Linked DNA regions of Anolis sagrei. The protein of the gene in region 1 purifies or fractionates together with the protein of each later gene. This does not show direct contact. Links are inferred from orthologs where the notes say so. Each region holds a gene or a part of one and is shown in the gene's direction. Other genes may lie near its edges. The genes, in order: KPNA2, POLR1E, MTA2 and CTDSPL2.

What was found.
Region 2: the proteins of KPNA2 (region 1) and POLR1E purify together in Homo sapiens (affinity purification with mass spectrometry; 3 studies listed by BioGRID and IntAct, with this or other methods). This does not show direct contact. The link is inferred for Anolis sagrei from reciprocal best matches to the Homo sapiens genes KPNA2 and POLR1E.
Region 3: the proteins of KPNA2 (region 1) and MTA2 purify together in Homo sapiens (affinity purification with mass spectrometry; 4 studies listed by BioGRID and IntAct, with this or other methods). This does not show direct contact. The link is inferred for Anolis sagrei from reciprocal best matches to the Homo sapiens genes KPNA2 and MTA2.
Region 4: the proteins of KPNA2 (region 1) and CTDSPL2 purify together in Homo sapiens (affinity purification with mass spectrometry; 4 studies listed by BioGRID and IntAct, with this or other methods). This does not show direct contact. The link is inferred for Anolis sagrei from reciprocal best matches to the Homo sapiens genes KPNA2 and CTDSPL2.

The regions. Positions count from the first base shown.
Region 1 is NC_090022.1:179,962,849-179,969,749, reverse strand, and holds the start of KPNA2 (importin subunit alpha-1), read left to right. Parts: upstream 1-3,896; 5' UTR 3,897-4,000; intron 4,001-6,901.
Region 2 is NC_090022.1:152,394,596-152,402,384, reverse strand, and holds the start of POLR1E (DNA-directed RNA polymerase I subunit RPA49), read left to right. Parts: upstream 1-4,774; 5' UTR 4,775-4,824; coding exon 4,825-4,882; intron 4,883-5,295; coding exon 5,296-5,399; intron 5,400-7,142; coding exon 7,143-7,219; intron 7,220-7,789. UniProt on the Homo sapiens protein: Component of RNA polymerase I (Pol I), a DNA-dependent RNA polymerase which synthesizes ribosomal RNA precursors using the four ribonucleoside triphosphates as substrates.
Region 3 is NC_090032.1:12,528,000-12,535,535, reverse strand, and holds the start of MTA2 (metastasis-associated protein MTA2), read left to right. Parts: upstream 1-4,516; 5' UTR 4,517-4,653; coding exon 4,654-4,681; intron 4,682-7,536. UniProt on the Homo sapiens protein: May function as a transcriptional coregulator. Acts as a component of the histone deacetylase NuRD complex which participates in the remodeling of chromatin.
Region 4 is NC_090029.1:23,291,806-23,299,349, forward strand, and holds the start of CTDSPL2 (CTD small phosphatase-like protein 2), read left to right. Parts: upstream 1-4,540; 5' UTR 4,541-4,816; intron 4,817-7,544. UniProt on the Homo sapiens protein: Probable phosphatase.

The DNA.
Region 1 (6,901 bases):
GAGACTACTAATAGTGCTGTATTTCAGAGGAAGGAACTGATGAGACTACCCTATCTAGAAAAGCCTTCTAAGGTTGCCATATGTATCAACATACATATATGGCTACGATATGCATTCATTGATATTGCTTGACATATCATTGCATAAGTCTCCATAGCGTTGCTACCAGGCTGTAGCAGCCACCATTTGGGTTATGGTTATGCTCAAAATGTATTCCTTGTAATAATTTTTGAACACTACTCTCTGGCATTTTGCTAAATGTCCCTTCCCGTTTCAAAAGCTTTTCTTCTTGCTTGGACTGAACAGATGGATCAGTGATTAATTGGAATATTGAGCGGATGCAATTATGTTTTCCCTTTTTTAAAGAGCAGCCAAGGCTGTTTTGAAGTAGGAATTTCCCTAAATTAACTTTAGTGTGGCAACAGTACTAGGTATAGTAAAAAAAAGCACATCATAAACTGATGCAGAAATCCTTTTGGGGGGCATCCGCATTGCAGAAATAATGCAGTTGGACTCCACTTGAACCAGGGCCGTGGCTCAACAAGCTCCCACACCCAGGATCTCATATCACCGAATCCTGGCAATTAAAGTTGTGTCAAAATAAATTCATTCCACACTGTAGATGCACCCTGAAACATCTTGAATTGGAAGTATCTTTAGAGGGTATCTACACTGTAGAAATAAATGCAGTATTGATACCACTTTCGATACTTAGGCGATCCCTTGTAGTCCGAGGATGGTGGTCCTCCAAGTGTAGTGTCCTGGGGGTGGGTCCGTAGGTGGCTGTGGAGCCCTATTCTTGATCTGCATCTTCTCCCACAGTGAGGGCATCGGTTTCCAGCTGGAAGGCGGTCCCAGTTGGGGTTGGCTTGACGCGCCTTCCTCTTGGCACGTTTCTCTCTTTCGCCCTCCATCCATGCCTCTTCAAATTCTACAGCACTGCTGGTCACAGCTGACCTCCAACTTTCGATACCACAGGATTGAATCAGGGGAGAGTGCAGATGAGCTTCTTCTGTCAGCTCCAGCTTCCCATGCAGGGACATGAGAGAAGCCTCCCATAAGGGTGGTAAAACATCAAAACATCCGGACGTCCCTTGAGCAACATCCTCGCAGACAGCCAATTATCCCACACTAGAAGCGACTTGCAGTTTCTCAAGTCACTCCTGATACGAAAAAACCCCACTTTGGCTGGCTCAACGGCATGCAACCATGGGATTTGTAGTTTGGTAAGGTCTAGTACTATTTGGCATACGAGGTTAAAGACCTTATAAAACTACAACTCCCAGTGTAAAAATGCTCCCGTTTCCCCGTTGGAAGCCCATTTTATTCTGAACTAGCCATCCCTTGCCACGCGTTGCTGTGGCCCAGTCTGCATATATGTTCTTTGTGTGTGTATATATGTGTGTTTTGCACATGCATTGTAATTTTTTTATTTTTTGGCTATTTATTTTTTGGTTTTTCAGTGGGTTTTTTTTTTGAGTGATGGTCACTGGCCTGATAGGTGTCTTGTGTCCAAATTTGGTGTCAATTCGTCCAGTGGTTTTTGAGTTCTGTTAATCCCACAAATGAACATTACATTTTTATTTATATAGACTAGCCATCCCCTGCCATGCGTTGCTGTGGCCCACTTTGGTGGTCATGGGGGTTCTGTGTGGGAGGTTTGGCCCAATTCTATAATTGGTGGGGTTCAGAATGCTTTGTGATTGTAGGTGAACTACAAATCCCAGCAACTACAACTCCCAAATGTCAAGATTCGATTTCCCCCAAACTCCACCAGTGTTCACATTTGGGCATATTGAGTATTCGTGCTGAGTTTGGTCCAGATCCATCAGTGTTTGAGTGCACAGTGCTCTCTGGATGTAGGTGAACTACAACTCCAAAAGGAAAGGACACTGCCCACCAAACCCTACCAGTATTTTCTGTTGGTCATGGGAGAACTGCGTGCCATTCCATCGTTGGTGGGGTTCAGAATGTTCTTTGATTGTAGGCGAACTATAAATCCCAGCAACTACAACTCCCAAATGACAAAATCAATATTTTTTGAGTGAAGGACATACATTGGGTTGTTAGGTGTCTTGTGTCCAAATTTGGTGTCAGTTCCCCCAGTGTTTTTTGAGTTCTGTTAATCCCACAAACGAACATTACATTTTTATTTATATAGAAGAAGATAGAGGACTACCCACTAAAGTCGTTTAAATATAAGAAGGGCCCTTAAATCATTGGGAGCATTTGTTGCATGGCATGCAAAGAGGAAGACTTTGCCACAGTGGGCTAATTCAAAACCTCATCCGTTCCAGCCGGATCTACTCGAAGGATGGCTCAGATGTCTGCTATCAAAATGAGAAAGACACTCCACGAATTTGGGCCTCCCTGCAAAACAACAAGGCACGACCCAGATGGGACTCGAACCCACAATCCCCAGCTCCGGAGGCTGATGCCTTATCCATTAGGCCACTGGGTCACCCGGCAAAAACGGCTGAGCGCCGCACTCTAAGCGCCCCGCCCGGATATGCTTGGCCACGCCTACTTCCTGTCTGCAATCCAGGCCTTCAGTCCCCTCTCTTAAAATAAGCCACGCCCCTCTCCGTCCTATTCGGTCTAAGCGACCGCCCTTTAATGCCGCTCTAGCCCCGCCCACTCAGCCAGTCTATTTGCATATAGAACGCCGGAGGGCAAGGAAGGCGTTTCCCACCTTGAGTGCTGTTTTCCTTGTCACGTGTGAATGGAAGATACGTGTATATTTTACACGTCCATGCATGGAAGCGCTTGCAAGTTTGAGATCAACCAGGAATGACAGAACAGTGCCTTGCCTGGGTGGCTGATAGCTTACCTTCGTCTTGCCATAGGCTACATCTACACTGCCAAATTAATGCGGTTTGGCACCGCTTTAACTGCTTTGACTCAATGATATTTTTTTAATATAAGGTCTGGGCCTCCTCTGCCAAGCTATTTTTTGCCTCACCAAATTACAAACCTAAAGATTCCAGATTATTGAGCCATGGGGGTTAAAGTAGTATCGAACTGCGTTAATTCTACAGTGCAGATGCATCCCAAGTATTGATTAGGACATCATTTTCATTTTGAACCGTGTTCTAAATATTATATTATGATATTATTATATAATATTCTATCATAATATTATATTATAATATAATAATATAATATAATATTATATATATATATTATATAATATGATAATATTGTAATATGTATTATATTATAATATAATATATTATATTATACTCTATATTATATTATATTTTATTATATGTTATTATATTACATAATATTATGATAATATTATAATACATATTATATTATATGTTGTAATATAATATTATGATAGAATAATATTATGATATTATATAATATTATGATACTATTCTAATATTATGATAATCTATCACACATTTCAAAAACCAACAACAGATCTAAATGACATGATTCATAGGCCCCTTCCACACAGCTGAATAAAATCCATATTGAACTGGATCATATGGCAGTGTGGACTCAGATAACTCAGTTCAAAGCAGAGCCTGTGGGATTTTCTGCCTTGATGTTCTGGGTTATGCGGCTGTGTGAAAGTATTTGGGCATTGAAGCTTGGTAGCACTCTTTGGCAGAGAAGGTTAAAGAGCGCGTAAAACTACAACTCCCATGGCGCCCTTGGCAGTTAAACGGTCTGAACATGCAGCGTTGCCTTCTGGGAAATGGAGTCTTGAAGGCGGTTGACAATGGTCGACGTTACTCTCAAGGCCTCGAGGGATGCCCCGCCTCCCCCAGCAGCGCGAGGCGGAGGAGTTTCCTTTCCGTCTTTTCAAACTGGCCAATGGCGGCTTTGCTTTGACTCGAACTGGCCAATGAGAGAGCGAAGGCGCTGGAAATTTAAATCGGGGCCGACCCGCTGCTCCTTCGTCTTCTTCCTCTGGAGCCGCAACGTGTCGGAGGAGACTCTGAGGCCGGGCTACGAGGCGGGAAGGAGGCGCTGCTGCTGTTGCCAGGTGGGTCGGAAAGACGCTTTCTTCACCTCCTTCTTTTAATTAAGGGCGATTATTTCCACTAGGAGAGGCTCATTAAGTCTTAGAGAAGGGGAGAAACGGTTAGAACCGAAACTGAAGGTCATATGGACTGTTTTCTCTTTAAATATAGGCAGGCTTGAGGGGAATGTGCCTTTTTCTAGGCCCAAAAGCCCTCTCAGGTTTGTTCCTTCACGTCCAGGTGGTTCACCTCCCTCCTAAATTCCCCTGGACGTTTCCCTCACACCAGAATATGAAAAAAAGCATAGAGATTTGTGAGATAGCTTCCCCCTCTGGCATTCATCTGCCCAAGTGAATCAGGGGTATATAGCACTGAATGAAACACTGGATAATCACAAGATAACTCAAACCTACATCTGTTGGTAGACTCTGTATGTATTGTTGAAGGCTTTCATGGCTGGAATCACTGGGTTGTTGTATGTTTTTTCGGGGTATATGGCCATAAGTTCTAGAAGCATTCTCTCCTGACGTTTCGCCTACATCTATGGCAAGCATCCTCAGAGGTTGTGAGGTCTCCCTCTGAGGATGCTTGCCATAGATGCAGACGAAACGTCAGGAGAGAATGCCTCTAGAACATGGCCATATACCCCAAAAAAACCTGACCTCACAATCTCTGAGGATGCTTGCCATAGATGCAGGCGAAACGTCAGGAGAGAATGCCTCTAGAACATGGCCATATAGCCCAAAAAACCCTGACCTCACAACCTCTGAGGATGCTTGCCATAGATTCAGACGAAACGTCAGGAGAGAATGCCTCTAGAACATGGCCATATACCCCGAAAAAACCTGATCTCACAACCTCTGAGGATGCATGCCATAGATGCAGGCGAAACATCAGAAGAGAATGCCTCTAGAACATGGCCATATACCCCGAAAAAAACTGACCTCACAATCTCTGAGGATGCTTGCCATAGATGCAGGTGAAACGTCAGGAGGGAATGCCTCTAGAACATGGCCATATAGCCCGAAAAAAATGACCTCACAACCTCTGAGGATGCTTGCCATAGATGCAGGCGAAACGTCAGGAGAGAATGCCTCTAGAACATGGCCATCTACCCTGAAAAAACCTGACCTCACAACCTCTGAGGATGCTTGCCATAGATGCAGACGAAACGTCAGGAGAGAATGCCTCTAGAACATGGCCATATAGCCCGAATAAACCTGACCTCACAACCTCTGAGGATGCTTGCCATAGATGCAGATGAAACGTCAGGAGAGAATGCCTCTAGAACATGGCCATATAGCACGGAAAAACCTACAACAACACAGACTTTATATGTGTTAGCTAATGTGTGACTGGAAGTTGCTGCCAACTGTGAGAGAAATAAGGTTGAATACTATGAAAGAAGAACTTGATTTTCTACCCCTCCTCCATCTCCCTGAAGGGACTCTAGGCGGCTTACATGGGGCCAAGTCCAGGCAGAATAGAATTAAAAACAGAACAGTAGCAAATATCAAATTAAAAATAGCATAAAACACTATAACAGTAGTAAACAAGCATCAAGCAACAGCAGACTAATTTTTGGAGGGGGAAGGAGGCCAGTATGCGAAACTGGTGGTTGTTGATGTTGTTATTATTATTATTAAAGGGTAAGTGGTTCAGTAAGGTGGGTAGAAACGTATAATAGCATAGGAAATAGCATGAAAACAGTATCAGGATTAATTCAGCTTAATTTACAAATATGAATAGTGATGTAATATAGGAATTCGGATTAAATAATGATTAAGGTCATGATCCAGGTCATAGGAGTCATTAATCGAATGCACGACAAAACATCCACGTCTTTAATTCCTTGCGGAATGTGGAAAGGGAAGGTGCCAGCCTAATCTCCCTGGGGAGGGAGTTCCAGAGACGAGGGGCCACCACCGAAAATGCCCTTTCTCCCATCCCCACCAACCACGCCTGAGATGGGTGGGAGCAAAAGAAGAGCATCCCCGGAAGATCTTAAGCACCGTGTGGGCTCATAGGGGAGGATACGGTCGCGCAGATAGGCAGGTCCAGAACCATTTAGAGTGGTAGTTCTCAGCCTGTGGATCCCCAGGTGTTTTGGCCTACAACTCCCAGAAATCCCAGCCAGTTTACCAACTATTAGGATTTCTGGGAGTTGAAGGCCAAAACATCTGGGGACCCACAGGTTGAGAACCACTGATTTAGAGCTTTATAGGTAATAACCTGCACCTCCTCCCAGGGTCCCCAGATGTTTTGGGCTTCAACTCCCAGAAATCCTAACAGCTGGTAAACTGGCTGGGATTCTTGGGAGTTGTAGGCCAAAACACCTGGGACCCACAGGTTGAGAACCACTGTAGTAGACTCAAATCAAGGAAAAGTTTCATGAGAACCATCACTCTGCTTAAGTTCCCCCAGCAACAGCAAGAGCATACCTCTGGGCAGTTAAACCAGGAAATCCCAACTGGATGGCCCCCCACGAGGGTCTTCCTCCAGGGGTAAACCAAGGTTGGGGTACTTGGAAGTCCCTGAACAGACTCAGAAGTGGATTTGGCAGATCAAAAGACAACTTGGCAAAATGGCAATACCGAGGTGCCCTTCCAGACAGGCCCTATATGCCAGGATCTGATCCCAGGTTTTCTGCTTTAGACTAGATTATGAGTCCCCACTGCCAGTAATCTGGGATATACAGAAGACCTGGGATCAGATCCTGGGATATAGGGCCTGTCTGGAAGGGACCTAGAAGAATCCTACACCTTGTGTGACTCTGGAGCAGAACAAACAACTCCGCACCTGTATACTTGCCCACAATGCCCTGCCTCATGCACAGAGGAAGTACTATTTAAAACTAGACAATGCGATTGCTGTTGCCTGTTTTTGGTCCAAAATTATGTGCTCCCTTTATTTTATCATTTTTA
Region 2 (7,789 bases), about 28 Mb from region 1:
CTGGACCCCCTCTCTTCACTCTTGCCCAGAGCGGCAGTTTTTCCTGGGGGGAGGGCCCCCCAACTGATGACATGTGCAGGAGACAAGATGGAACTGTCCCCTGGCCCCCTCTCTCTTCACTCTGGCCCAGAGTAGCAGTTAGTGCTGGGGCAGGGGCGGCTCAACCTATTATGCAAAGTAAGCATTTGCAGTATAGTTGATTTTGCCCAGGGGTGCTCTTGAGGCGCTCTTGGGGGAAAATAGACCTTGACATATGCGAGTTGTAGTAACTGGGATGTATAGTTCACCTACAATCAAAGAGCATTCTGAACTCCACCAGTGGTGGAATTGAAACAAATATGGCACACAGAACTCCCATGATGAACAGAAAATATATATCAGTGATTGGTTGGGGGGGGGGGCAAAATACTGTTTACTTATCGTTGAAAATTACCTAGGACCGCCTTTGTGCTGGGGGGAGGGGGCCCCAACCGATGACATGTGCAGGAGACAAGGTGGAACTGTCCCCTGGCCTCCCCTCTCTTCACTCTGTTTCCTTGGTTCCCAGCCTTTGGTCTTCCAGATATGAGGCTTCAACTCCCAGAAGCCCCAGCCAGCCTGGCTAATAGCCAGGAAATCTAGGAGCTGAAGTCCAAAATACCTAGAGGCCTACAGGTTGGGGACTGCTTTTCTCATGGAAGCTAAGCCGTCCAGGTTGGTACTTGGGTGGAGTACTAAGTCCTGTAGGCTATATTTCAAAGGAAGGACATGGCCAAACAATTTCTGCGCACTCCTTGTCTCAGGGCCCTTCCACACAGCCATATAACTCAAGAGTATCAAGGCAGATCATCCACAATATCTACTTTGAACTGGCTTATCTGAGTCCACATTGCCATATAACTTATTTATTTATTTGTTTCGCATATTTGTATCCCGTCTTTCTCACCCCCGGAGGGGGACTCAGGGCGGCTTCACAACAGGCATTCATTCAGTGCCAACAACAATAATAAATGATAAAAGCAATTAAAACAAATTGCCAGGTTTGAAGAGCGGGAAAGGGTGATGAGACAAAATTATAATAAGGGAAGGGAAGGGTTTTCAGTTAAGTGGATAAGAAATTGGGTTTTCAAATACTCAAAAGGATTTTTCCAAAGCTTAACAATAGGGACAAGAGTGGGATTTCTCACATACATTCCATTAAAGGTTTTAGCAAGTAACATTAACCTACCCAAGGGTGCATCCGTATCATAGAATTAATGCAGTTTGACCTTCATTTAACTACCATGGCTCAATGCGATGAAATCATGGGAGTTATATTGGCGATAATGGATCATGACCTGTTAGGATCACTGACCATCGGGGTATAAATCATGAACTGTTAGGATCACAATCTAATTAGGATAGCAGAGTTTATTTGGTAATGGATGGTCGCTGGGCATGTAGATATTTTGTTTTGGTATGACACTTTCAACAGAAAATGATGCAACCAGACTTCTATTAAAGACAACAAGTTTTGTTTACTGATAACTTCACGTATTTAAAGATACAGGCACATTTCTTGTCAAGGGTTAAAAACTTCAGTAACGTTTCAAAGAGTTTGTATCTTGAACTTATAACCTTTAACAGTTCCTTAATAAACTATGTTGTTTTATACAGCTCTCTTTAATAAGAGTTTACTTTCAAATAAAACACACACCTCAACAGTTTCTAATTTCCTAAGATGGTAATTGGAGGTGACCCTCCACTTCCAGGGCTCTGTAAAAGATAGTTCAAAATCAGGGAATTCATGGTTTTGCCAAGGACACCAGGCTGAATGGATCCCATAATCCCTATCTCTCTTTCTGTTTTTATGAATGGACTCCCGACTACTCAGTGCTCCCCTGAGCTTCCATGCACCCCTCCCCCATGAACTCTTATGAGTTCTTATGAACTTTCATGAGCTTTATAGGAATTTCTATAAACTCTTGCCAAATTTTTATGGACTTGGGGGGGGGGGGTGACTTGACTTCCCCTTAGACCCTGCATGATTCCCCCTTTTCCTGTGAACTCTGTGTATGTTCCCTTGCCCCATTCCTCATTCCCTATATGTATATATGTCTATATAAGAAAATATGAAGGAAAGCAACCTTTTCATAAACCAGCAACTCATGGCTTTTGGAGTTTCCAAACTGCCTGAGCTGATAATCCCCTAACAAAGGATTCAACCAGATCCATTTGCATGGACAATAGATAAATGACTCTATATATCTGGACATCGGAGGGCTGATAGCCAGGTCATCCAGATTAAGGGAGTCTGTGGACATATTGGATCACTCAACACCAAGGACATTTCCTCATCTACGAGGAACTAGGGATTTGTCACTGCATCCTTGCTGTGCCACATCTGGATCTCCAAAACTCATCTCTGTTTCATCAATGAACTCCATATTGCGCGATAGTAAAAACAAAGGACCTGGCCTTTCAGGGCCAGGCAAAAATGTTAATTCAAGAAACAGAAAAATAACTCAGACCAAGCTTGAGAGCCTGAAGCTATCGCCAGGTCATTTGGTAAACACTCGACATTCTTAATCCAGTCAACTAGACATTTCTTCATTGTTTTCCCGTTGCCTGCCTCCCTTCCACCTCATTGGCTGGGCAGATAAAGCAGGGCCAGGGCACTCCTTGGATCTCCTCCTGGCTTGCTGACGTCACAGCCACTCATTACAAAACCAGCTCAGGGTGGGCATGGGAACTTTTGAATCTGAAGGCTATAAATATTGTATTTTTCTGCCCAGTGAGTTATGTCAGCTCCTGGACAGATTACTGCGGTCGTCATCCGTGCCAGCTGGAATGAAATAAACATCTCGGTGGCTTTCCTTCAACTTGGTGAGACTATTTTGGGAAAAATTAGAGAAAATCTTCATTGGTGCTTGCTGTCTCGCCAGGTGTTCCAGATCCTCTTTTTGGGTCTGGCCGGTCTCTGCCTAGGCAGAGCCTCTCAAATTCAGGTTCGACATCAAGATGAGCTTCTGAACTCTTACAGACTTCTATACTGAAGCTCATTCAAGGCTTAACACACTTCTCTAAGAGTCATTCATTCCTCAACTGACATTCCCTAACAGTCATCCTGTTTACACCTGAACAGAGCTCAGACTTTTTAAAGAGAGGGCCAGGTCACAGTCCCTCAAACTGTTGGAGGGCTGGATTATAATTTGAAAACAAAAACAAAACATGAATGAGTTCCTATGCACAGTGCACATATCTTATTTGTAGTGCAAATACCACTTAAAAACAATACAATAATTAAAATGAAAAACAATTTTAACAAATATAAATTTATTAGTATTTCAATGGGAAGTGTGGGCCTGCTTTTGGCTGATGAGATAGGGTTGTTGTTGTTGTTGTGTGCTTTCAAGTCGTTACAAACTTAGGCTGACCCTAAGTGAAGGCTGGGTACATGACCTTGGAGGGCTGCATTCAGCCTCTGGACCTTAGTTTGAGGACCCCTGGTCTAAACGATCACTGAGTCAGTCATGTGACTTGCAGCCCCTCCCATTGCTCTTTCGGTATATAGAGATAAAGAAACTTCAAATCAAGTAAGACATATACTTCAGGTATATGTATTACAAAACAGACAAACATCATATAGAGGAGGCTTGAGAAAGTTGCTTCCCCCAACAAGTTATAGTTTACAAAGGTCTTCTTACTTTACTTAGGCAATCCCTCGTTGGACGAGTAAGATGGTCTTCCATGATGGGTTTCCTTGTGGATTCGTAGGTGGCTGTGGAGCCCTATTCTTGACCCACATCTTCTCCCACAGTGAAGGCATTGGTTTCCAGGTGGAAGGCGGTCCCGGTCGGGATTGGCTTGATGCACCTTCCTCCTGGCACATTTCTCTCTTTCACCCTCCACTCATGCCTCCTCGAATTCTGCAGCACTGCTGGTCACAGCTGACCTTCAGCTGGAGCGCTCAAGGGCCAGGGCTTCCCAGTTCTCAGTGTTTATGCCAGAGTTTTTAAGGTTGGCTTTGAGGCCATCTTTAAATCTCTTTTCCTGTCCACCAATGTTCCATTTTCCGTTCTTAAGTTCAAAGTAGAGCAACTGCTTTGGGAGACGGTGGTCAGGCATCTGGACAATGTGGCTGGCCCAGCGGAGTTGATGGCAGAGGACCATCGCTTCAATGCTGGTCGTCTTTGCTTCTTCCAGCACGCTGACATTTGTCTGCTTGTCTTCCCAAGAGATTTGCAGGATTTTCCGGAGGCAGCGCTGATGGAATCGTTCCAGGAGTTGCATGTGACGTCTGTAGACAGTCCACGTTTCGCAGGTGTATAGCAGGGTTGGGAGGACAATAGCTTTATAAACAAGCACCTTGGTCTCCCTACGGATGTCCCGGTCCTCAAACACTCTCTGCTTCATTCGGGAAAATGCTGCACTCGCAGAGCTCAGGCGGTGTTGTATTTCGGTGTTGATGGTCTTCACTGGTGCCTCACTAGACTATAGATCCCATGATTCCAGAGCATTGAAGGATAGCAATTGTAGCATGATCAAACTGCACTGATTCTACAGTGTAGATCAGGCATGAGCAAACTTTGGCCTTTCTGGCCCTGATCCCTTACCAAGGTGTTTTGGACTTCAACTCTCACAATTCCTAACAGCCTAAAGGACTGTTTGCCCCTGCATGGTGTTTACATTTTGTCAATGTAAATATGAGGAAAGGAGACTCGAGCCAGTTCCCCCTTCCTGCCTGCAGGTGGCGACAGAGGCTTCGTGGAGTGAGCCTCGCAGGCGGAAGGGGTTTGCTTGGGATCAAAGCCACTCCTCTTCCTGCAGCTGGACACACGCGGGGAAACAGAGGCATCCTTGGCCATGGAGGCTCGGTGGTGCTACCGGGGGGACCCCCAAGAAGGACAGAGCGCCCCTCTCGGTAAGGGATCGGGGCCAGAAAGGCTCTCAGTGCTGATTCTTCCCTGGTTTGGTCTTGCCTTTGCACCCAGGGCTCCCTTGCAAAGGCTCAAGCACGTGGCCGGGTCATTGAAGTAAATAAGCCCTGATCTCTAGGCCTGGAGTGCAGCCTGGCCCCACTTTAGCTGCCATGTCTCAATGCTATGGGATCCTGGGATTTGTGGCTTGTTGGTGCTTGGGAGAGAGGTCCCCAACTGATGACATATGCAGGAGACAAGGTGGAACTGTCCCTGTCCCCCTCTCTCTTCAGTCTGGCCCAGAGCAGCAGTTGATGCTGGGGGGAGAGGTTTAAGTTTAAGCATGACAAAGCATTCACAAAGGCTAAAATGCTGGTGTTACAATTTTTCTTACCTTTGTTTTCTCACTCATGCACAGTTCAGTTCACAAATGGCAAACTGAAGAGTTCTGAAAATATGACTTTCAACCTATACAGAAACAAAGACACCACAAACCCGAGAAAGAAGCAGAAAGTAACTTTGGTAAGCAGGTTTGGTATAGAGCAAGCTTGCTTTGTTAATTGACTGATAGACTGGTGAACAGGAATTGTATTTATTTGCTTACTTACTCAGCTATCCCACTTTTTTATTTGGTAAACTTATGAGAGTCACGAAGAGTCGGAGACGACTGAACGAATGAACAACAACAACATGAGAGGGTTACACAAAGCTCAAATGATTTTATTATTAGATTTTGAAGTTTTGTTATGGAACAATTTTGTCAATGTCTCTTCAGAGGCAAGAAATACAGTGTTCAGTGATATTTATTTCACCTCGATGGATATAGGATTGTAGCCTTAAATGGCAGATTTAAGTTTCACAGATATGGCCTCAAGTAAAGGTGAAGGTTTCCCCTGACATTAAGTTTAGTTGTGTCCGACTTTGGGAGGTGGTGCTCATCTCCACTTCCAAGCCAAAGAGCCGGCATTGTCTGTAGACACCTCCAAGATCATGTGGATGGCATGACTGCATGGCGGGGGAGGGGGGGATTTAGAAATTGAAATACTCACCAATAATTTTCATTAATTTTCATCGTTACCTTCCCGCAGAAGTGGTACCTATTTGCTCTACTTAAATTTGCATGTTTTTGAACTGCTAGGTTGGCAGAAACTGGGGATAACAATGGGAGCTCCCCCCGCTCCCCCAATTCAAACCACTAACCTTTCGGTTAACAAGTTTCACAGCTCAGCAGTTTAACCCACTGCACCACCGGGGCCTGTGCATGAATATATATATGTATGTGTGTGTTTATATACATACACATACACACACACACACAAGTATTCTTACCTGTTATATATTCTAGCGACAGGACATTCCTCCTCTTCCTGATGCTTACCTTAAAGTCACAGAAAATGCGCTCAGCATGGAATCTGGGTACCTTAAGACATAACTTAAAAAACAGAAATTTGCTTATTCAGTATCCATGTCTGGAAAATGGATTAAAATAAATGACATGTGCAGACATACCATTCCCATTGTACAAGGGTGAGTCAAAAGGTTTTGCTTCCTGTGTCATAAAAACATTATGAATGGTCATATAACAGCAGTCGCTACAGTTCATAGTTGAACTGTCACCATCCATTTGTACACATTTTTGCCATTATTCAACCCAGGCATCAAACCCATTTTGGAAAAATTCAGAGCTTTGCTTTGTGATCCATGTTTTTAAATCTGAAACCACATAGGTTGTCTTTCAGAGGTCCAAACAGGTAAAAGTCAGAAGGGGGCAAATCATAAACATTCTTCAAGCAATGGTGGATTCCCTTAGGTGTAAAACCTTCTTTTGCCAGAAATTTAATGACCGCTCTTTCTTTTACGTTCAGATTCATGGTTCTAATCAGTCAATTGGAAAACGAAAAGACTAAATCAGTAGAGTAAGGTTACCTCTGTTATATCATATACACATAGTTCAATAGCTGTGAAAGAAATAAAAGTTAGAGCGATGGAGGCATTACTATTTGACCCACCCTCGTATTATTTCTTTACATGTTTTGCATCAACTGCAGTGGAAGTGAGGAGAAGAAAATAAATAGATTGACATTGTGTGGCTGTTTGACATGAAGATTCCACTTTCTTTTAGGGTACTTTGAAAAGGCTTGAAGCCAATGGCTTCCCATTTTGTGGTGGGGAAAAAACTTTGAGCCTTTGGAGCATTTACTTTAGTTTTAAAACTTATTTTTATCCCCAAAAAAATCATTAATCTTTCTTTTTTTTCTTTTTTAGAATGCAGAAACAGAGAGACTTTCTTATGTAGGAAATAATTTTGGTGCAGGAGCCCTGAAGTGCAATACTCTATGCAGGTAATATATATGTGTGTGTCTGTACATCAGAAATAGATGTAATTGTATGTTTACTTGAGTTAGAATATCTGCATTGAAGCTAATCCTAAACTTGAATAAAATTACAAACGGAAATTGATTTGGGATAGTCATCTTTTTCTGTTGAGTTTTTTGTGGGGCGGGCTTTAGCACAGCAGGTTAAACCGCCAGCTGTAGAAAATCTTGCTGATTGAAAGGCTGACAGTTCAAGCCCAGGTTGGGGTGAGCTCCCAACCATCAGTCCAACTTCTGCTCACCTAACAGTTCGAAAACAGCAATGTGAGTAGATAAATAGGTACTGCTTTGGCGGGGAGGTAAAAAAAGGCACCTGTGCGGGTGATTCTATTGGAAGAGTGACTAAAGGACAACAAAGCTCCTCGGCATGGAAGATGGAGCGACAGCATACACACCCCGTGGTTGGAGTTGAGCACAGCCTCCAGATGCAGGAGATGGAAAAAGATGGGAAGCCTTTACCTCTGTTTATGTACTGTCTGTCTTTGTTCATTGTATAATGGCATTGAATGTTTGCCGTAGATGTGTCCCTTTGGGGAG
Region 3 (7,536 bases), on another chromosome or scaffold:
ATAATAATAATACTTTATTTATACCCCGCTCCATCTCTCCCAGGGGGACTCGAGGTGGCTTACATGAGGCCATGCCCATCAATACAGCATAACACAATATAACACAAAAGCATAACACAATATAACACAAGGCATAACAGAACTAGAAAACATAAAATGCAAAATCTAAATAATAAACGAGACAGCAGTATAAAATTGGACAGTAAACACACAGAAATTGCACAGGCAAGGCCAGATTTAAGGATAAAAATTAAACATTTAAAATTTTAAAACACTGGGAGATTAGGCAATGGAAACTGTTGGGGAGGGAGATCCGGATTGAGGAAGGAATTCATTGCACGAACCATAAAATAAAGTGCTTCTGAGGTCATTTGTGCGAAATTTGGGAGGGAGTATTTTAAATTCAATCATTGAAGGCACATTGGAATAACCAGGTTTTCATATTCCTCCTGAAGATTGCCAGCGTGGGAACTTGCCTAATGTCTCTGGGGAGTGAATTCCAGAGCCGGGGGGCCACCACAGATAAAGCCCTTTCTCTCGTCCCTACATGTCGCAGTTGCGATGCAGGCGGGAGCGAACTAAGGGCCTCTTCGGAAGATCAAAGAGATTGTGTGAGTTCATAGACGGAAATGCGGTCGTGCAGGTAGGTGGGTCCCAAACTGTTCAGGGATTTGTAGGGTAAAACCTGCACCTTGAATTGGGCCCAGAAGATAAATGGCAGCCAGTGGAGCTCCTTAAACAGGAGGGTTGACCACTCTCTGTAATTCGCTTCAGTTAATAATATGGCTGCTGCCCGTTGGACAAGTTGAAACTTCCGGGCCGTCTTCAAGGGCAGCCCCACGTAGAGGGCATTGCAATAGTCCAATCTAGAGGTAACTAAGGTGTGGACCACTTTGCTTATATACCGCTGTATCTCAAGCCTGAAGGCGACTCACAGCGGTTCACAAACAGTAAAAACAGTAGAAACAGCAGTGGTTCCGTGGTCGACGGTATCGAAGGCCGCTGAGAGGTCCAGCAGCACCAACAGGGACACTCTCCCCCTGTCGAGCTCCCGGCGCAGATCATCCACTAAGGCGACCAAGACTATCTCGGTACCATGTCCCGGCCTAAAGCCAGACTGTGCTGGGTCTAGATAATCCATGTCTACTAAGAATACCTGGAGCTTAGAGAAGACAATGATGCTGGGGAAAATGGAAGGCAAAAAGAGGAGGGGCCGACCAAGGGCTAGATGGAAACCAGGCTTTCGGGCAATCTGACAACTAGATAAAGACAATTAGATGACTAGGACTGACAGGACTGACAAAGTGGAATTGGAATTTGGACTATGAGATGGCGAACACTGAGCGTTAATTAGGTGAAATCGGTTTTATTGGTTTTATTGTTGCAGTGCAGAAACTGATTGTTAAAAAGCACAATTTGATGTTGGCAGCATCAAATTGTGCTTTTGTAAGCCACCCTGAGTCCCCCTCTGGGGTGGGAAGGGCGGGGTAGAAGTAACAAAGTGTTGTTACTCACCTTTAAGGCCTTGCATGGTCTGGGGCCAATGTATCTGAGGGACCGTCTCACCCCCTACCAACCCCAGAGATCCCTCCGTTCTGAGGACCAAGATCTATTGGAAGTCCCCAGTGTCAAGGCCTTGCGTCTAATGGCAACCAGATGCAGAGCCTTCACAGCAGTGGCGCCATCAGTCTGGAATGCTCTGCCACCTGAAGTTCGTGCCCTGTGGGACTTACCAGCTTTCCGCAGGGCATGTAAGACATACCTGTTTCGACAGGCTTTTAATGTTTGATACTGTTGTTTTTAAATTGTTTTAAATTGCTTTTAAACTTTGTTAGATTTTAGCTATTCTTGTAAGCCGCTCCGAGCCCCAGGGGAGTGGCGGCATATAAGTTTAAATAATAAATAAATAAATAACAGAAATAAATAAATAAATAAATGGCATCCTTGAAGTGACTGGATTGACTCTGAAGGAGCTGGGGGTGGTGATGCCCGACAGAGAGCTCTGGCGTGGGCTGGTCCATGAGGTCATGAAGAGTAGGAAATGACTGAACAAACGAACAACAACAAAACACAATGAAGTTCAACAGGGACAAATGCAAGACACTCCACCGAGGCAGAAAAAAGGAAATGCAAAGAGACAAAATGGGGGACGATGCCTGGCGCGACAGCAGTGATGTTGAGCACCCCCCCCCCCAAAAATAAGGGATAGTGACTTATAGTTCTGCAAAGGGCAAGGGCACCAGACTACACAACAAGGGTTAAGTCTTGGTCACATTGCCAAGGCACTGACAACAACAAGGACCCCACGAGGCTTTTGGGAAATGGCTAGATCTTGGGACTTCTGTCCTTTGTGAGAGTTGTAGTTTCCAGAAGCGTGAATCAGTTGCAGCACAGCTGGGGTTTCATCTGCCAGCCTTCCCAATGATCATGGACTCTCTGCCTGCATATCTTGGACTTCAGTACATACTATCTCCCTCATGAACTTTCCTCAAAGACCTTTTAAAACATTGGACTTCAGGCTTCTTCATGAAAATTAATTCTCTTATTAAATATACTTGGAATGTGGGACAAAAATGGGGTTTTGTTGCTATGAAATGCTTATGATTTGAATGTATGTATCTTGCTATGAAATATTGCCTTTCCCCTTTGCCTTTTGCCCTAGAAAATGTGACCCAGGACTGTTGAAATGCTTGAGGGAGAACCACCACCTCCCTTTCTTATTTGATTATTTCACCTCTGCATGGACAGTAGCAAGCTGAAACTTCCTCTTGTTTGCTTTGTCTGGCAGGCAAGGAAGTTTATCTGGACACTTTGATTGAATCACAAAGGGCAGGGTTGATCCCCCCCCCCCCCAGGTCCCCTGCCCCGATCCTCTTTGTTTTCCTTCACCAAAACCCATCAAGGGCAGAAAAACCTTTCTTAATAAAATCAACTTTTACTGGACAAAACAATGCCCCTCTTCCGTCCTGCCTCCCTCTCCCTGATTTGCTAAGGAGCCAAAGAGGGAGGGAGTTTTGAAACTTTCAAACCTGTATTTTCTCTTTAAAAATGCCAGTAAAATTCTGTATTGCTATGCTTGTAGTGGAACTATTCCTACAATACATCTGATTTCAGCTGAATCGCTAATAAAGACACCTCGGTCCCAGCTTCTTCCGCTTTGGTGAGGATTTATTATTTTAAATATTTTTGCTGCTGAAATTGGCTTCGCTGGCCTCACCAAGGTTCAAGGACTCTCTTTGGTGTGGTCCTCAGGATCTCCTCGGCTCGGAAGATCCTCCTAAAAGCAGCTCGATATCAGCAGGACGTGGGAAAAAGGTTTTGAAGTCCTGAACATGAGAACGAATTTCCTAACTGTAAGGAGAGCTGTCCAGCAGTGGAACTCGCTCTCTGCCCTAGAGTGTGGTGGAGGTCCTTCTTTGGAGGCTTTGAAGCAGAGGCTGAATGGCCATCTGTTGTGGGTGCTTTGAATGTAATTTTCCTGCTTCTTGGTGGAATAGGGTTGGACTGGATGGCCTACGAGGTCTCTTCCAACTCTAGGATTCTAGGATTCTATGATTCTAAGGCAGTGACATATCCGGCCCATCCTCTGTTTGGATATCAGCCAGTTACCAATGCCTTAAATCAAGAAACATCTTCCTAAGATCAACAGAGATACTTGCAGGAACACCTCAGCAAGCGAGAGTCCAAAAGTGGCAGGCTCAAACCCAGAACCTGAATCCATTGCTGATACTGAATGAGAGACTCCGTCCTGGGCACACAGAAGATTAGGTGACTTGGAAGGTGCTGAACAGGCTGCGCTCTGGCACCACGAGATGCAGAGCCAACCTTAAGAAATGGGGCCACAAAGTGGAGTCCACGACATGCGAGTGTGGAGAAGAGCAAACCACAGATGACGTACTACAATGTGACCTGAGCCCTGCCACATGCACAATGGAGGGCCTTCTCTCAACAACACCAGAGGTATTCCAAGTGGCAAATTTAGCACAATGCCAAGTTTTTAACTTTGTGTTTTTAAATACATTACAACTGCATCCTTGGCTAGCTTCTGACACAATAAAAAATAAAAATGTAAATAGTTTTAATTCTATGTTGATGTTTATTTTCTTTAGGATGTAAGTGTTGTATTTTTTATCACTGGAGTCTCTTTAGGAGAAAAAAACTGGGTGATCCTGGGCATGTCACACTCTCTCAGCCTCAAATGAGCTCCAACTGATGCGCTATTACAAGGTCGCTAGAAGTCGGGAACGCCTTGAAGTCGAACAACAAAGCCTTAGTTCCTTTCTCTAATAGGGAAAAAAATTCTGGCTCCGATCACAAACGAAAGGTGCAACCTTATAGCCGGAAACGGCCGATCCTTTCCGGAGATTCACGAGGCCCCCTAACAGCGAAAATCGACCAAAACCGAACGCCGCCCGCCGAGCGCTGGCCTCAGGCTTCGCCATTCTACGGCAAGGAACGAATCCTTTCCGGAGATTCCCGAAGCTCACCCGAGCGATTCCGGAAATGCACGAAGGGCTCAAGGCTTGGTCGGCGCTCGCTGCGTGGGAAGGAGAGGCGACGACGACGCCACCGGAGGCGGGAGGGGATGGAGCGCGGCCGGGCCCGGAGTTCCTGAGGCGGCTTGGCCGAGGCGGGCGGAGTCCGGGAGGCGCCATGGCCGCTAATATGTACCGGGTGGGCGGTAAGGCCGGAGCAGGAGCGGGAGGAAGGGAGGGGGCTCCTCGGGGCTCGCTGGAGGGGGGAGGGGCGCCTGAAGGAGCCGGAGGGGGAGGAGAGATCGGGAACTGAGGGGAAGCGGCGAGGGAGTGCGCATGCGCCTCCGGAGTTCGGCCTGGAGGAGTTCGGGGCGCTTGTGGGCGGCGGTGGAGATGGGCCTGGTCTGTGGGGAGAAGCCTGGCGCCAGGGCCGAGGCTCAGGAAGCGGGGCAAAGACCTTGGCGTCTCAATACGAGGGCGGGGGAAAAAGGGGGGGGGGGCAAATGTCATGGCTGGTTCAAAAGAATTGACAAGAAAAGAGAAGCCTGGCTTAGTTGACTCCTTGCCTGTTGGCGTTGTACGTTGTAGATCAGGCATGGGCATACTTGGGCCCTCCAGGTGTTTGGGACTTCAACTCCCATAATTCCTAGCAGCCTGGAGGGCCCAAGTTTGCCCATGCCTGGTATTATGGAAATCAAGGTGTGTTAATTACTGTAGTGTATCACAAGAAATAGTGTTTCTCAGCCCTTAAGCGACTCACAGCGGTTCACAACAAGAACAGCAAAAATTCAATGCTACAATAACACAGCATAAAAAACAGTTAACATCATAACACATTATACAGTAATATACAATTAACAACAATAGCCATTCACTAGCGTCTCGTCACTAAAAAACATGATCCAGATCCATCATCCATTGTTCCATTCCTATGTTCATTACACTCATTGCACTGACTATTCGAACACCTGCTCAAACAACCAGGTTTTCACTTTTTTGCGGAATACCATTAATGATGGAGCTAGTCTAATGTCCGTGGGAAGGGCGTTCCACAGCCGAGGGGCCACCACCGAGAAGGCCCTATCTCTCGTCCCCTCCAGCCGTGCCTGTGAGGCAGGCGGGATCAAGAGCAGGGCCTCCCCGGATGATCTCAAAGTCCTGGTGGGTTCATAGGCAGAGATGCGGTCGGATAGGTAGCTTGGGCCAGAACCGTTTAGGGCTTTAAAGGCCAACGCCAGCACTTTGAATTGAGCCCGGTAGCAAATCGGTAGCCAGTGGAGTTGGCGCAACAGGGGGGTTGTATGCTCCCTGCACTCTGCTCCTGTTAGAATCATGGCTGCCGAGCGTTGGACTAGTTGAAGCTTCCGAACCATCTTCAAAGGCAACCCCACGTAGAGAGTGTTGCAGTAGTCTAAACAGGATGTAACCATAGCCGCCGTGAATCGCCCTAGGGCTGAGAACGGCGGTCTACAAGTGCAGTAAATAAATAAATAATAAATAAATAGCGTGGACTACCGTGGCCAAGTCAGACTTCCCAAGGTACGGGCGCAGCTGGCGCACAAGCTTTAGCTGTGCAAATGCTCCCCTGGTTACCGCCGAAACCTGGAGTTCCAGGCTCAGCGATGAGTCCAGGATCACACCCAAGCTGCGAACCTGCGTCTTCAGGGGGAGTGCGACCCCATCCAACACAGGCTGTAACCCTATGCCCTGTTCGGCCTTGCGACTGACCAGGAGTACCTCTGTCTTGTCTGGATTCAGTTTCAATTTGTTCGCTCTCATCCAGACTGTTACAGCAGCCAGACCCCGGTTCAGGACCTTGACAGCCTCCTTAGTAGCAGGTGGAAAGGAGTGACAGAGTTGGACATCGTCTGCGTACAGATGACACCGTACCCCAAAACTCCGGATGATCTCTCCCAGTGGCTTCATGTAGATGTTAACATGGGAGACAATATTGAGCCCTGTGGAACCCCACAAGACAAAGGTTGTGGGGTTGAACAGGTGTCTCCCAATAACACCTTATGGGATCGGCCCTCTAGGAAAGACCAGAGCCACTGTAAAACAGTACCTCCAAGACCCATCCCCGCGAGGCGTTCCAGAAGGATACCGTGGTCGACGGTATCGAAGGCCGCTGAGAGGTCCAGCAGCACCAACAGGGACACACTCCCCCTGTCGACCTCCCGGCGCAGATCATCCACTAAGGCGACCAAGACTGTCTCAGTTCCATGTCCCGGTCTGAAACCAGACTGTGCCGGATCCAGATAATCCGTGTCTCCCAAGAATACCTGGAGTTGTGAGGCCACCACGCGTTCCAGGACTTTGCCCAAAAAGGGGAGATTGGAAACTGGCCAAAAGTTGTCAAATTTAGTGTGGTCCAGTGAAGGTTAGAATAGCACAAAATCAGTATTATACATAACTAGATTATACTATACTGCTATCCTGGAATATTATTAGTAAAAATTACATGTAATATAAAAAATATAATTATTATATTATAATATTGTATTATTAGTAATATTAGATTGTTTTACAATATTATTATATGGTATTACAATACAATATTGTAATATTGTATTACAATATTATAATATTATGATTATATGTACATAATAATGGTAAATGTTTTCCCCTGACATTAAGTGCAGTTGTGTCCAACAATGGGGGTTTGTGCTCATCTCCATTTCTAAGCCGAAGAGCCAGCATTGTCCCTAGACACCTCCAAGGTCATGTGGCCCGCATGACTGCTTGGAGCGCCATTATATATGTACATACAATATATTATAATTATTAGCATAGCACAATATTAGTATTATATATTATTGTATTGTACTATATCACTATACTGCAATATTATTAGTACTATTACATGTAATATATACTCTATAATTATTATCTTGTATTATTATTAGTATTATGGAGCCCCTGGTGGTGCAATGAGTTAAATCCTTGTGCCGGCAGGACTGAAGACTGACAGGTTGCAGGTTCGAATCCGGGGACAGCGCAGATGAGCTTCCTCTGTCAGCTCTGGCTCCCCATGCGACGACATGAGAGAAGCCTCCCACAA
Region 4 (7,544 bases), on another chromosome or scaffold:
ATAATGTGTGCAGATCCCAGTAAGGTGGCCTTCTGCAGCTGGCAATTTTGTTAGTGCCGATTGTGTGTAAGTGCAGGCCAAGGTCTTTAGGCACTGTACCCAGGGTGCCGATCACCACTTTACTGGTTTGTGCCAGAGTCTTTGCAGTTCGATTTTTAAATCCTCATATCATGTCAGCTATTATTATTATTATTATTATTATTATTATTATTATTATTTATACCCCAGTTTTACACTCCACAAAAATACCTGGGATTCACTCTGGACCGTGCTCTGACTTACAGGAAGCACTGCTTGACTATCAAGCAAAAAGTGGGAGCTAGAAACAATATCATATGAAAGCTGACTGGCACAACCTGGGGATCACAACCAGACACAATGAAGACATCTGCCCTTGCGCTTTGCTACTCTGCTGCTGAATACGCAGGCCCAGTGTGGAATACATCTCAACATGTTAAAACAGTGGATGTGGCTCTTAATGAGACCACGCATGCGACTGAGTACATGAGTACTTGACACATGACATCAAGCGTTCGTCCGACATCCTACTTGCTGGTGTAGCAACTGATTCATTAAAATGAATAAAGATTTTAAATGTTAAATGTTTTGCGGACATATTTTAGTTCTTGCGGGCCTCTAGTGGTCTGCAGGCCACTGGTTGGGAACCACTGGTTTACTTGGATGGCCAAGACAGCGACATGGAAGCCATGCTTCTCATGGCTTCCATGTATACAAAGGAGCCAATGACACTGTAGAACAGATGCAGTTTGGCACTGCTTGAATAGCCAGGGCTCACAGAATCCTGGAAGTTGTAGCTTTAGAAAGTCATGAATGATCTTTGTTTTGTGTATTTTGAAGGACAGCGGGTTAATTTTACCTCATGTAAGCTGCCCCGAGTCCCCTTTGGGGAGATGGTGGCGGGGTATAAATAAAGATGATGATGATTATTATTATTATTATACCACAGCCCTGAGCCATCATTCTCCAATATAGAGGTGCCCCAACTTGGTGAAATCTAATGGAACCTTCTTCCTTGGAGGCTTTGAAGCAGAGGCTGGATGGTCATCTGTTGGAAGTGCTTTGATTGCGCTTTTCCTGCCTGGCAGAAAGGTATTGAACTGGATGTCCTTTGGGGGTCTCTTCCAACTTTGGCATATTATTATTATTATTATTATTATTATTATTATTATTATTCAGAAGCTGGATGGCCATATGCTGGGAGTGCTTTGATTGTGCTTTTCCTGCAGGTCAGAAGGGGATTGGACTGGATATCCTTTGGGAGTCTCTTCCAACTCCAGGATTCTATCAGTCCACAAGCAGAGGCTAGGTGGCCACCTGTCAGGAGGGCTTTGATGGTGCTTTTCCTGCAGGTCAGAAGGGGGTTGGACTGGATATCCTTTAGGAGTCTCTTCCAACTGCAGGATTCTATCAGTCCACAAGCAGAGGCTAGGTGGCCACCTGTCAAGAGGACTTTGATTGTGCTTTTCCTGCAGGTCAGAAGGGGGTTGGACTGGATATCCTTTAGGAGTCTCTTCCAACTCCAGGATTCTATCAGTCCACAAGCAGAGGCTAGGTGGCCACCTGTCAGGAGGGCTTTGATGGTGCTTTTCCTGGCTGACAGAAGGAGGTTGGACTGGATATCCTTTAGAGGTCCCTTCCAACTTAGATTCTGTATATATCATAGACATATGTCTATCTCAATCACATCTATCATATCTATGGCTGGCTGGCCATCTGTCGGGAAGGTTTAATAGTGCTTTTCTTGCAAGAAGGCAGAATAAAGGGGGGGGGGGGGTTCGGCAAGGTGCCCTTTAGAGGTCACTTCCAACTGTAGTATTCTATATATATATCATAGACATAGGTCTATCTCAATCATTATGGCTGGCCAGCCATTTGCCGATTGTGCTTTTCCTGCATGAAGGCAGAATAAAAGGGATTGAACTGGATGTTCTCTAGAGGTCCCTTCCAATTGCAGTATTCTATATATATCATAGACATATGTCTATCTTAATCTTATCTATGGCTGGCTGGCCATCTGCCAGGAGGGCTTGGGTGATGCTTTTCCTGCATGAAGGCAGAATAATTGGGGGGGGGGGGGTTGGACAAGATTCCCCTTGAAGTCCTTTCCAACTGTAGTATTATATATACCATACACATATGTCTATCTCAGTCACATCTATCATATCTATAGCTGGCTTGTCATCTGTTGGGAGAGCTTGGATGGTGCTTTTCCTGCCTGGCAGAAGAGGATTGGACTGATTGACCTTTAGAGGATGGCTCTTTGTCAGAAGGACTTTGATTACGTTTTCTTGCCCTGATGAAGGGAGTTGTATACATATATAGATATAATATATATATAATAGGCATAATAGGCATATGTCTATCTTAATCATTATGGATGGATGGCCATCTGCCAGGAAGGCTCTGATTGTGCTTTTCTTGCATGAAAGTAAAATCAAGGGAGTTGGACTAGATGCCCTTTAGAGGTCCCTTCCAAATGTAGGGGATATAGGTATATATATCATAGGCATATGTCTATCTTAATCATTATGGGTGGCTAGCCATCTGCCAGGAAGGTTTGAGTGTACTTTTCTTGCATGAAAGCAGAATCAAGGGGCTTGGACTAGATGCCCTTTAGAGGCCCCTTCCAAATGTAGGAGTATCTTAATCATTATGGGTGGCTGGCCATCTGCCGGGAAGGCTTTAATTGTGCTTTCCCTGCATGAAAGCAAAATCAAGGGGGTTGGACTAGATGCCCTTTAGAGGCCCCTTCCAAATGTAGGAGTATCTTAATCATTATGGGTGGCTGCCCATTTGCCGGGAAGGCTTTGCTTGTGCTTTCCCTGCATGAAAGCAGGATCAAGGGGGTTGGACTAGATGCATTTTAGAGGTCCCTTCCAAATGTAGGAGATATATATATATATATATATGTATATATCATAGGCATATGTTTAACTTAATAATTATGGGTGGGTGGCCATCTGCCGGGAAGGCTTTGATTGTGCTTTTCCTGCATGAAAGCAGAATCAAGGGTGTTGGACTAGATTCCCTTTAGAGATCCCTTCCAAATGTAGGAGTGTGTGTGTGTGTGTGTGTGTGTGTGTATATATATATATAATAGGCACATGTCTATCTTAATCATTATGGGTGGCTGGCCATCTGCCAGGAAGGCTCTGATTGTGCTTTTCTTGCATGAAAGTAAAATCAAGGGAGTTGGACTAGATGCCCTTTAGAGGTCCCTTCCAAATGTAGGGGATATAGGTATATATATCATAGGCATATGTCTATCTTAATCATTATGGGTGGCTAGCCATCTGCCAGGAAGGTTTGAGTGTACTTTTCTTGCATGAAAGCAGAATCAAGGGGCTTGGACTAGATGCCCTTTAGAGGCCCCTTCCAAATGTAGGAGTATCTTAATCATTATGGGTGGCTGGCCATCTGCCGGGAAGGCTTTAATTGTGCTTTCCCTGCATGAAAGCAAAATCAAGGGGGTTGGACTAGATGCCCTTTAGAGGCCCCTTCCAAATGTAGGAGTATCTTAATCATTATGGGTGGCTGGCCATCTGCCAGGAAGGTTTGAGTGTACTTTTCTTGCAAAGCAGAATCAAGGGGTTTGGACTAGATGCCCTTTAGAGGCCCCTTCCAAATGTAGGAGTATCTTAATCATTATGGGTGGCTGGCCATCTGCCGGGAAGACTTTGATTGAGCTTTCCCTGCATGAAAGCAGGATCAAGGGGGTTGGACTAGATGCCCTTTAGAGGCCCCTTCCAAATGTAGGAGTATCTTAATCATTATGGGTGGCTGCCCATTTGCCGGGAAGGCTTTGCTTGTGCTTTCCCTGCATGAAAGCAGGATCAAGGGGGTTGGACTAGATGCATTTTAGAGGTCCCTTCCAAATGTAGGAGATATATATATATATATATGTATATATCATAGGCATATGTTTAACTTAATAATTATGGGTGGGTGGCCATCTGCCGGGAAGGCTTTGATTGTGCTTTTCCTGCATGAAAGCAGAATCAAGGGTGTTGGACTAGATTCCCTTTAGAGATCCCTTCCAAATGTAGGAGTGTGTGTGTGTGTGTGTGTGTGTATATATATATATATATATAATAGGCACATGTCTATCTTAATCATTATGGGTGGCTGGCCATCTGCCGGGAAGGCTTTGATTGTGCTTTCGCTGCAGGAAAGCAGAATCAAAGGGGTTGGACTAGATGCCCTTTAGAGGTCCCTTCCAACTTCGCCCAGCTACGATTCTCGATAGTTTTGGGGCTTAATTGTGTGGAGGAGAAACTCACGTGGCGAAGGGAGCCGTCCTCAAGGTGGGCCGAGGCTTTCCCTTGAGCATGTGCGGAGAGCCATTCGGTGTGCCCGTCAGTCTGTCAAGGGGGAAGGAAAAAAAGTACCTCCTTCCCGCGCCCGTCCCCCGCGCATGCGCACCTCCCCCCAGTCAGCTTTCCCTTACCCTCCGCGCATGCGCCTTTCCCCCAGTCAGATTTCCCCTTCATCCCCTCCGCGCATGCGCACCGGCATTCCCCAGCTCCCTTTCCCTCAATTTCTCCCCCCTCGCGCCAGCAGCATCCGGGTCCTTCCGTGCGGTGCAGCAGGTCGGTAGGCGGGAAATGGCGACGGGCCGCTGCCGGGGCTGCTGCTGAGCAGCGGTCAGTCCCGGCCGCTGGGGAGCCGGAGAAGGAAAGGACGGGCAGGAAGGAAGGGGAAACCGAAGGAAGGAAGGAAGGACGGGAAGAAGGAAGAAGGCGAAGGGCTTCCAGGGACGCCCTTCCCTCAGAAGCCTCCCTCTCGCGCCCCTCAGGTAAATTGAGGGCCGCTCTCTTCGGAGGACTAGGCCGCAGTCGGAGTGGGGTGGGCTCTTGTCAGGGAAGGAGGAAGGGGAGGCGAGCAGGGGGCCTCTGAGCACGTGCAGAGCGCCCAGGCAGCTCTGGAAGAATACAAGCGCCGCGCGTCCTGTTATATCTTACTGTACATTATGTATCAGGCATGGGCAAGCTTGGGCCTCCCCTCCAGGTGTTTTGGACTCCCAGTTCCCACCATTCCTCACAGCCTTAGGCCTCTTCCTTTTCCCTCTCAAAGGAAAGGAAGGGGCCTGCTGAGGCTGTTGGGAATGGTGGGAGTTGAAGTCCAAAGGCCTAAGGTTGCCCATGCCTGATATATCTTATACTATATGACATATATCTAATGCAGGCCTTGCTCGTCCTCTTATAACTTACTCTACATTATATATTATACTATATCACATACTGTATATACTCGAGTATAAGCCTATTATTATTATTATTATTATTATTATTAAACTTTATTTGTACCCCGCTAGCATCTCCCGAAGGATTCGATGCGGCTTACGAAGGCCAAGGCCTCAACACACAACACAACAATACAATCTAAGCAAATCAAACAATTAAAAACAGAATAAAGCAAAATAAACAACAGGCACAATACACTAAACACAATAAAACTGGGCCGGGCCAGAGCAATGGGTACAAGATTAAAAGTGCTGATGTGACAGGAGGTGTATATAGCCTAGTTTTTCAGCCCCCTTTTTTAGGCTAAAAAATCTCCCCTTAGCTTATACTCGAGTCAAGGTTATTTAATATTTTTCTCTGTTATTAGTATTATTTTTATTACATTTTACTCTATTATTATTATGTTCTTTTTACTGTACTATTATTGTGTTACGTTCATTATTTTACTCAATGTATTATTACATTTATTATTTTACTCTCTTATAGTTATTAAATTTCCATTATTTACTCTATTATTATTATTATTACATTTATTATTTTACTCTATTACCATTATTAAATTTCCATTATTTACTCTATTATTATTATTACATTTATTATTTTACTCTATTACCGTTATTAAATTTCCATTATTTACTCTATTATTATTATTATTATTATTATTACATTTATTATTTTACTCTCTTACTGTTATTAAATTTCCATTATTTACTCTATTATTATTATTAATAATAGAGTAATTATTAATTATTAAGCTTTTAAACAGAGGCTGGATGGCCATCTGTCAGGGGTGATTTGAATACAATATTCCTGCTTCTTGGCAGGGGGTTGGACTGGATGGCCCATGAGGTCTCTTCCAACTCTAGGATTCTATGATTCTATGATTCTATTACATTTATTATTTTACTCTCTTACTGTTATTAAATTTCCATTATTTACTCTATTATTATTATTATTATTATTATTACATTTATTATTTTACTCTCTTACTGTTATTAAATTTCCATTATTTACTCTATTATTATTATTATTATTATTACATTTATTATTTTACTCTACTACTGTTATTAAATTTCCATTATTTACTCTATTATTATTATTACATTTATTTTACTCTCTTACTGTTATTAAATTTCCAGTATTTACTCTATTATTATTATTACATTTATTATTTTACTCTCTTACTGTTATTAAATTTCCATTATTTACTCTATTATTATTATTATTATTATTATTATTATTATTATTATTATATTTCTTATTTTACTCTATTATTATTGGAAGGATACGTAAGCACATAAAGAAGGTTAGAATAATGGTTTCATCAGAGTTGGATAGTCTTATCTTAAATTACAGTTTTATGTAAATACACAAAAACATTTAACCTACTGATGATTTTCAGTAGCAGCTGCATTTTTCACCCTCGGCTTATACTCGAGTCAATACATTTTCCAAGTTTCTTGTGGTAAAATTAGGTGCCTCGGCTTATATTTGGGTCGGCTTATATTCGAGTATATACGGTATATGTAATACGGGCCTTGCTTGTCCTCTTATATCTTACTCTACATTATATATTATACTATATTATATATATCTAATGCAGGCCTTGCTCGTCCTCTTATATCTTACTCTACATTATATATTATACTATATTGCTTATATCTAATACAGGCCTTGCTCGTCCTCTTATACCTTACTCTACATTATATATTATACTATATTATATATATCTAGTACAGGCCTTGTTCGTCCTCTTATATCTTACTCTACATTATATATTATACTATATTACATATATGTAATACAGGCCTCATTCATACTGTTCTATGTTATAATACATTATACTATATTACATATATGTAATACAGGTCTCACATGTCCTCTTAGACTAATACATATACGTATATATATTATAATAAGAATGAAACTTTATTTGTATTCCACTCTATCTCCCCAAGGGGGACTCAGGGCGGATTCCATTTAAACAGTTAAAACATAGAATTCAAAACATCTTAATATAACATTAAAATCACACAATCCAGAATCGTAATCCAAAACATTCCTATTGTCAATTGTACCTATTTCCTAATCATTTCTTGTACTGCATTACTTTACTGCCCGAAGGCTTGGTCCCATAGCCATCTCCTTATGTTTTTTCTCAAGGCCAGGAGGGAGGATGCTGATCTAATTTCACTGGGGAGGGAGTTCTAGAACCGAGGGATCACCACTGAGAAGGCCCTGTTTGTTGTCCCCACCAACCGTGCCTGCGAAGGAGGCAGA